Tribolium castaneum: one gene and its partners. The protein of the gene in region 1 interacts with the protein of each later gene in a pairwise test. Links are inferred from orthologs where the notes say so. Each region holds a gene or a part of one and is shown in the gene's direction. Other genes may lie near its edges. The genes, in order: prefoldin subunit 3, Pfdn2 and Pfdn5.

Evidence for each region.
Region 2: the proteins of prefoldin subunit 3 (region 1) and Pfdn2 interact in binary tests that used the Drosophila melanogaster proteins (3 or more experiments, as listed by UniProt). The link is inferred for Tribolium castaneum from reciprocal best matches to the Drosophila melanogaster genes mgr and Pfdn2.
Region 3: the proteins of prefoldin subunit 3 (region 1) and Pfdn5 interact in binary tests that used the Drosophila melanogaster proteins (3 or more experiments, as listed by UniProt). The link is inferred for Tribolium castaneum from reciprocal best matches to the Drosophila melanogaster genes mgr and Pfdn5.

Annotation. Positions count from the first base shown.
Region 1 is NC_087397.1:4,273,492-4,276,331, reverse strand, and holds prefoldin subunit 3, read left to right. Parts: upstream 1-1,339; 5' UTR 1,340-1,399; coding exon 1,400-1,480; intron 1,481-1,559; coding exon 1,560-1,957; intron 1,958-2,001; coding exon 2,002-2,092; 3' UTR 2,093-2,300; downstream 2,301-2,840. Other genes in the region: S2P (membrane-bound transcription factor site-2 protease), read right to left, coding at 1-1,126, 1,171-1,245; c-Myc-binding protein homolog, read right to left, coding at 2,614-2,840. UniProt on the Drosophila melanogaster protein: Binds specifically to cytosolic chaperonin (c-CPN) and transfers target proteins to it. Binds to nascent polypeptide chain and promotes folding in an environment in which there are many competing pathways for nonnative proteins.
Region 2 is NC_087397.1:2,599,204-2,602,042, forward strand, and holds Pfdn2 (prefoldin subunit 2), read left to right. Parts: upstream 1-1,350; 5' UTR 1,351-1,427; coding exon 1,428-1,567; intron 1,568-1,724; coding exon 1,725-2,019; 3' UTR 2,020-2,201; downstream 2,202-2,839. Other genes in the region: Vang (van-gogh), read right to left, coding at 1-448, 498-601; chondroadherin, read left to right, coding at 2,636-2,839. UniProt on the Drosophila melanogaster protein: Binds specifically to cytosolic chaperonin (c-CPN) and transfers target proteins to it. Binds to nascent polypeptide chain and promotes folding in an environment in which there are many competing pathways for nonnative proteins.
Region 3 is NC_087400.1:9,621,918-9,624,590, forward strand, and holds Pfdn5 (prefoldin subunit 5), read left to right. Parts: upstream 1-1,319; 5' UTR 1,320-1,398; coding exon 1,399-1,500; intron 1,501-1,556; coding exon 1,557-1,691; intron 1,692-1,738; coding exon 1,739-1,813; intron 1,814-1,863; coding exon 1,864-2,016; 3' UTR 2,017-2,092; downstream 2,093-2,673. Other genes in the region: uncharacterized protein LOC103314387, read right to left, coding at 516-542, 593-631, 683-806, 945-1,018. UniProt on the Drosophila melanogaster protein: Binds specifically to cytosolic chaperonin (c-CPN) and transfers target proteins to it. Binds to nascent polypeptide chain and promotes folding in an environment in which there are many competing pathways for nonnative proteins.

The DNA of each region.
Region 1 (2,840 bases):
AATATTTTGGGACGTATGAGGACACCGTCACTGTCCTCACAAGATCAGACACGGGCCCAATGTAGATAACGTCGTTTTTGTTGACTCGCTTGATTTTAAACAAATTCGTGTTATTCGTTAAAATCGGTCTGAAACAATAAGTATCTTTGGGGCAAACATGGGGGTCAGATATGCAGAAATTTGTCGAGGCTTCGATCGCAGGTCTTCCAGGCAAACAGGCGTAAGGGGGCAGCTCCAAAATGCTGTCTTTACTATCCAAGTACTCAAAACACAATTTGCCTTTATTCTCTGAATGGCAGCAGCTTACAATCCCACTTTCGGAGTGTTTCAAATGAACGCTCTCATCCAGATCGCGCACAACGTCGCCCTCAATACAAAACGCGGGCTTTTTTGTGCGTAAAGCCACTAAACATTTGTACCACGCATTTTCATCGTCCACCTCACAATCATTAATTTTCAAAATTAAATCGCCAACATTTAAACCCCTATTTCCGAAAATTGGCGATTTTGCCTCAAATTCCGTTACCACAACTCCTTTACCAAAGTTGAAAAACGGTGAAAAAACGGACGGTAGAGAAGTGTAGAGTAAGTAAGCTACGAGTGCAATTAGCAAGTTGTGCCAAACTCCGGCGCACAAAATCTTGAGTCTTTTCCAAGGATTTAGAGAAAATAATTTGTCGGAATTTAAGTTAACGTAAGCCACTGGCAAAATAAAAATTACGTTGGCGCCCACATTGATCACATTTACGTCTTCTTGCACAGCCCCTAACGCATGGCCTAGCTCGTGCAAAACCGAACTGATTAGCAAAGTTAAACTGTAGTAACCCATTTCGGATGCTGGAAGGTTTATTCCCGGGACTACCGGCTGAATTATGCTTTCCTCGCCACTTGCCGAAGACAAAAAGTTTTGGAAGAAAGCCACTAACAATAGGTAGATCGAAGCAGGCAGCAAAACTAAACTCACACATAGCCCCAAATTAAACCACAAATTAAGAAATTTCGTGTTGTGACTGCCCCACTTAAGCAGCAATTTATTAAAGGCTGTCGTGGTCCACGAAAACTGGAACAATTTGATCTCCAGGCCCGTTCCTTTAAGAAATTGGATGTATCCGTAATGAGAACATGACTAAAATTGTGGTTTTTAAGGGCACTAAACGTGTTCCGACTTACTTTAAAAAACCTGTCCATGAAGAGAACCCATAAGTAAATCGCCGCTATTGTCATTAAGCCAAAAATCAAGTCCATTTTTAAGTTTTTAACTCATTTTTCAAAAAATTATTAAATTTCCTAACCCCACATAATAGAGTGGTGGCTACCAACGCAACGAATTGATAAAATAAAAACCACCAAACTTTCAATTGTTTAGTCGGTGGAGTGGGTAAATTTTGCAAAAACTAGAATGGAACAGTCAGAATCGGAAAATAACACAGAACTGGGAGACAAAAAGTCCTACGCTGGAATCCCCGAAGCCGAATTTGTCGTAAGTGTCGAAACCCCGTCCACATGTTTTTCGAAAAAACGTAACCTCAATCCCGACCTTATGATTTTTCCTGTCTCAGGAAGATGTGGATGCGTACATGGCGCGGCCCGAAAACAACAAAAACGTGGAAGAAGTGTTGAAAAAATTAGATAACCAACATGCCAAGTATAAGTTTATGGAATATAATTTATTGTCGAAGAAAAAACGGCTCCAGAACCAAGTCCCCGAGCTGAAGCGTTCGTTAACGATGATTGAGAAACTAGGCGAACAGAAAAACGAATTCGAGACTCAGTTTTTGCTCAGCGAACAGGTTTTCGCCAAAGCTAAAGTGCCACCAACTGAGACGGTGTTCCTGTGGCTGGGGGCCAATGTCATGCTTGAATATAGTTTAAAAGATGCTCAGGAGCTGCTCACGCAGAATATTGCTGCAGCTACTAAGAATTTAAAATATGTGGAACACGATCTCGACTTTTTGAGGTAACGCTTTGTTGGGGTTTACTTTAGGCTGAGTCAATTTTCAGGGATCAGTTTACGACAACCGAGGTCAATATGGCGAGAGTGTTCAACTGGGACGTGAAGAGACGCCAAGCTGCGAAAGCAGCGGCAAAATGAGGCTCCAAGTGACCATTTAGCACTGTTTTAATTTTGTTACAAGATCTGTCACTGCTGCTTTATATCGTCCAGTTTTGCAAAATATATTTTCGCGCTCGCACTTTTACAGTGCATGTAAATCACATGTTACTTCCAGCTTGAGCATTTAATAACTTAGCTTTTATTTAACCCGTTTCTGTGAATAAAACTATTTCTAATAAGGAAATAACTTTAATTGCTAATAAACACAGACTGTTTCTTCAAACTTCTTTTGCCAAGTGCATAAAATTTTATAAATGAAAAAATAATACTGCAAATAACAGTCCACATAATATTCAATATACGAACATAAAAGTGCTTCTCAAAAATGGTAGTTAAGGCATCACCTGAATTAATTTACAGGTTGAGTTAAGTACAATGTGAAGACCGACTAAAGTCTTAAAATTTCACAATTCTAAAACAAACTAAAAATTAATTCATAAAAGGAACAAAAATAAAATTCTAAAAATAAAAAACAATGTATAATATGGCAAAGAGGAGCATCACTGGTCGGCGTTTTCTGGAGGCTGTTCAGCTGGGGCCTCTTCAGAGGGCGCCGCCGCGGCCGCTGCCTCCTCCGGCGGGTTCTCGTCGCCCCCAGTTGGCTCAAAACCTTCCTCCAAGGGAGCGCCTTCCTCGTCAGCCGGAGCTGGAGGCTCCATACTGATCCTCAGCTCCTCCAACTCTTGGTTGAGAGCCTCAACGCGGGCCTGGTACTCATCTATCTTCG
Region 2 (2,839 bases), about 1.7 Mb from region 1:
GGCCCCGACCGCCAAAATGGCCATTTTGAACGCCAACGACACCAACTGGCCTTTACATTCGGCCCCGCAAGCTAACAATTTCGCGCTGTCTGCGAGTCCCAGCCGCGAGGACAGCGCAGGGAAGAACCCCAGTTTTGGCAATACGACCATGGCTAAGGGGCTCAAGAAGGCAACTATTGAAAGGATGTACGTTAGCACCGTCCCCATGTATCTTTGGCAGACGAAGGAGAGCCCGGTGTCAGGTTCACCGGGCCAGTTACTGACGTCTTCGGTCGACTGGGACTGCTCGGACGTGTTCCCGGTGATGGCAGTGGTGTTCTCGCCCCAGTTGTCGTCCTGGGGCAGGATTTGCACCTCGATGACCTCCTGGCCGTCGCGGTTGTCGGGGGTGAGGGTCACGGCCGTCTGGAAGGGCGCCATCTCGTCGTTTTTGCGAGACTTGGAGCTTCTGTAAAAAAATTACTTTCAAGATGGTCCAGAATTGTTTGGGCACGAACCTGGTGCTTCTGTGGGAGTGCTGTCGGTAGTTGTTGCGGTCGCGGTGCCCCCGTGAACGTCTCGATCGTGAACTGTTTTCCGATTTTATGGATTCAGTCTCCATATCTCGTCCAGTTTCGTTGCCCATGTATTTTCCCAAAAGCCGGATTTTTTTTGCAAGAAACTGTCATGAGTGGTTCTTTATCAACACTTTTGCGGGAATTCTCGTCAAAAATCCTGATTATTTCACTAATAAGTTCAATGACTCCTCACGTTGATGACATTTCGTAAACATGTATTTGTGCATAAAAAATCCAAACAATTTCCGTTATTTGGAGCCTTAGGCCACTTCCGGGGTTCGTTTCGCTCAGGAGGAATGCATTTTCTTGGGATTTGTTTCGTAAGAGTTGCGTAAATCGTTTACAAATTGCATTTAAATTAGTGCGGCGGCTTGTGTGCGTTTTTCTAATAAAACTGGATCATTTTTCTCAAACGGCACTTGGAACACGCACCGTTTTTTCCCCACACACGTAACCAATTCCCTCCGACACTCCACACATGCTTTTTTATTCAAATTTATTCAAAATTTACTGAAAACTAAATCGGAGTTTATAAAATGTAAACGCCTACGTTTAGGAGCAATTTAATTGCCCCATAAATTATGGCTGCAACATGGCTACCGTGTAAACCAAAAATGACTAAAAACACTAAATAGAGCAATTCCTTCCAATGAATTTCAGTCAAAGAAACCGAGACGAGGAAAAAAATAGACGTAGTCTAGACCCGGGAAGATAAATTTCAATTGAAAAAAAATCCACATTGTCTGGTTATCGCAAAATTGGCAAAAACGCGCTTGGTTTTTTCTTTCCGCCAGGTTTACATCATGTGGCTGCGTCACGTGACCATGACAAAGTGACATTTCTCAAATTCCGGATTTATGTTTACCAAAAATGGCAAGTGATTCGAAAAAGAAATCGTCCAAAGGGCTCACGCCCGAGGAGATCCTGAACGGCTTTCAAGCGCTAAGGGCCGAGCAGCGCACCCTTTCATCAAAACTGACGGAATTCGAAGCCGATTCCAACGAACACAAGTAAGTTTCCGGCCCGGTTGTGGCCCCAAACGTGGGGCTGTGGCGGCGAAACCCACGGCAAATTACTCAAAATTGAGTAAATTTTCATTTTTGAAATGAAATTTTTTTCGTGGTTGCCGGTTTTTTTGTAAAATGTTACATAACCTCGCTTTTACAGAATGGTCATCGCCACTTTACAAAACGTGAACGAAGACCGGCGTTGCTTCCGACTAGTCGGGGGGGTTTTAACTGAGCGAAAAGTGAAGGACGTTCTTCCGGCACTTGTTGCGAATTTGGAGAAACTCAAAGAACTTATTGAAAAGTTGAAAGAACAAATCACGAAGAAAGGTGTGGAGATTAATGAATACAGGGAAAAGTATAACATTAGCTTTAGAGGGTTGGATAATCCGGCCCCGAAACAGGAGGAGCAAGTGGCGGCTTCAGAGAGTAGAGGAAATGTTTTAGTGTCTTAAATATGCATGTGCTTTTTTTATTTACACCTAAGCTAGGATTTTTCTTTTGTAGAATATTTATTTTATGTATTTCATTCGAATTTGGTCGGCATTTAACAAATTCATCTTTTTCTATGAGAGCTGTGCTGGTTTTTTGCAAGGTAATGTAACATATTTCATCCGAATAAAAATTTAATTTGTAAGTGGTTTTTTATTAATTTACCCCCATTACCCAATGACGAATTACGTAAGCACCAATAAATTATAATCTCAATTGCATATTCAACAAAAAAAAACAATTAAATTTCTTTCGTTTTTTGTGGCTGTATTATTGGTTGCCTAACCATGACTTTAAATTATTTCTCTAAAAAATTCAAATGAAAGCCTTAATAAGTTTTAATAAATTAAAGCACTTAATATTCACCACATTAAAAAAAACTGGTTTAATTATATAATTAAATTACAATATAAGTATTATCTAAGATAAAAAAAAGATAGATAGTAAATAATAAACCAATCATTTATTAAATCCTATTTGCTCTAGATATCAGTAGTCAGTATGTGAAGTGACTCAGTTTAGAAAAAACATCATGATAAGTTAACTGATAAAAGATTTTCCTCTTGTTCTAGTGAGACAATGTTTAAGTTTAGTTTCCTTCTTGTTTTTTCTTTATTATTTTACCACAACGAGGCCTTAAACCAGCTATGTTCCGTAAGAAAAGCAGAGAAAAACTGTATCTGTAAACGCATCACCGACAGCGAAGATTTAATTGCCACAGAAGCCGACTGCGTAAGAACAAATTTCGACTATTTCCCGACCTCAGAGCAGCTACCTAAAGAC
Region 3 (2,673 bases), on another chromosome or scaffold:
TGAAGTTTACTGATAAAATAACGCGACTTTTACATCAATCGCAATATCTCAAAAATAAATTAAACCTTTTCTTAAAGGAGTTTACTTTTTCAACGCATTAGCCTGTAGAATTAAAAAACCTTTAATATGATGTACACATAATACAGACTGATCCAGAAATACTGAGTCTGTTGGCAACACTGGACTTAAATTTTTAAGGATACCAATGAAGTACGCTTCAAGTTAACAAGAATTTAACATTCTTGTGGAGTTGGACGTCAAATAATTGTCAAGAAAAATCGAATTCGGTTGCAATGTTACAAATTACGAGCACAAATACTTTCAAATGTGTTGCCAATAGACTCAGTTTTTCTGGATCAGTCTGTATTTGAAATTCTGTTGCGTATTAAGAGAGAAAACTTTTTTAACTGCGCCCTCTGGCGACATTAGCGGAACCATTAAAAACGGGAACGTTTTATTTGTATGTACATCGTTTCGTATCCTAATCTTTAGATATCCGTACTTAAAACACTTACAGAATTTGATCGTTTTAACCCAGAATTCTGAAATAAATAGGTGTTTAACGTTATGTCAATTGTATTTACTGTTTTACCAGAGTCGGAGTAATGACCGTTGATTTTTTATAAGAAACCTACAATCAGCATTAGAGTGATAAAGTTCTCGAAACAAAACAAAACCTAACTGATGGAGTAACCGAAGGTCTTCTCAAATTTGACGAACTTGTTGATCTTTTCAAGGGCGGATTTAAGGTTCGGTCCATGGAATTCGCCCTGAACCTTTTTGCATTGTCATCTTTTGCACTAACTCTTTAAAACAAATTAGAGCCAATAATTTCATTTGAATTTCTTGAAGAAGGAATTTAGGAGAAGGGTACTTTTGGTAATTTTTTACTTTTTTAATAAACCAGGACCTAAATTAGGTACTACAAGTTTACATTATTTTACCTGCTGACAGAAGACTTTGAGCGTGACCTATTGGGGACTGGAAGTTGGGAGCTGCTGTTTGACCGTCGGTACATTGTTCAAAAGACTTCTCAACTTATTAAAAACACAATTAAATCATAAAACTGACTGAAGTGTACAAACATCAAGTTCAAAAAACGTTATTACAAAATCACCAATCAAGAAAGTCCAATAGATGCAATTTATCTACTAAATGTATCTAAATTGGAACTACTTGCTGTTAATTTTTTTAATATGTACCAATAAATACGAAACGTATACAGATTTATTTAACTGGAAACAATTTTAAAAAAATAATGCAAAGCAGTGCTTGTATGAAAGACACAGCATTGTCTTTCGACGAGTAGTTCATTCAAACAGTGCAATTTGTCTCTACTCCATTGCTATTTGACACTACCTTGTTTGTCCATTTATTAGTTATTAATTTATTAGAAAAATGGCTCAAATTTCGTCCACAGAACAGCCTAATATGAAGCAAGTGGATCTGATGACGCTAAATATCCAGCAGTTATCAACGTTAAAGCAACAGTTAGACCAGGTATGTGCCCTAACCTCAAACCTTGCACATGATTCTAAAAACTGCTCTTTTTCCAGGAATTGTCGCTCTTTCAAGAATCTCTTGCGTCCCTCAAAATGGCACAGACGAAATTTCAAAACTCCGGAGAGTCTCTGGAGAAAGTTGGCCCCGATTCGGATGGAAAAGAGATTTTAGTGCCGTTAACAGGATCGGTAATTTGAGTAATATTTACGAACTTTAATGAAAGTTTTTTTTTAAGATGTACGTGCCTGGAAAGTTGCACGAGACCAACAATGTGTTGATCGATATCGGAACCAGATATTATGCAGAAAAGGTGCAGCAATGTTGATGTTGAAATTGTGTGTTAATGATTGAATTTTTTAGGATATTGATGCTGCTAAAGATTACTTTAAGCGGAAAATTCAGTTTGTGACAGAACAGATGGAGAAAATTCAAATTTTGGGGTTGGAAAAAAGCAAAATTAGAGATGCTATTGTGGAAATTGTGGAATTAAAGCTGCAACAGCAACAGAATTGAGTTTAATTTTGTACATGATTTATTTATAACTGTGTTTAAATGTTTACCTAATAATAAAAAGATAAATTAACCTCCACTTTATTTGATTTTATGTTCCTGACTTATTCGGGAATTGTCTACATTTTGTATTAATCAATTTTGGTCAAAATTTGTTGCCGGATAGGCAACCAAATATACAGCTAGTTTTGGACTATCACTGAGAATATTACACACTGATCCACAAAAACTGAGTTTGTTGGCAACAATGGCTCGTAATTTGCAAGACTGCAACCGAATTCGATTACTTTTGACAATTATTTAACATACAATACCACAAGATTGTTGAATTGTTGTTAACTGGAAGCGTACTCCAATGGTATTCTATAAAATTTAAATTCAATGTTGCCAACAGTCTCAGTATTTCTGGATTAGCCTGTATTTATAATAGATGGTTATAGGAAATGCTAATATAGATCGATAAAGAAAAATATTCTCCTCCATCTAGTAAAATAAAAATTAGGATATTAATATAAGTTATGGGTACTTGAAGTTGTACAAACTTAACTTTAAAATTTTGGGTTTTTTACACTTCTTTTCCAATTTTGAACACATTAGAAAACAGATTTTATAGGCTTTCTCTTTTAATTCTTCAAAGATAATTTCGAAATTTCTCAAACT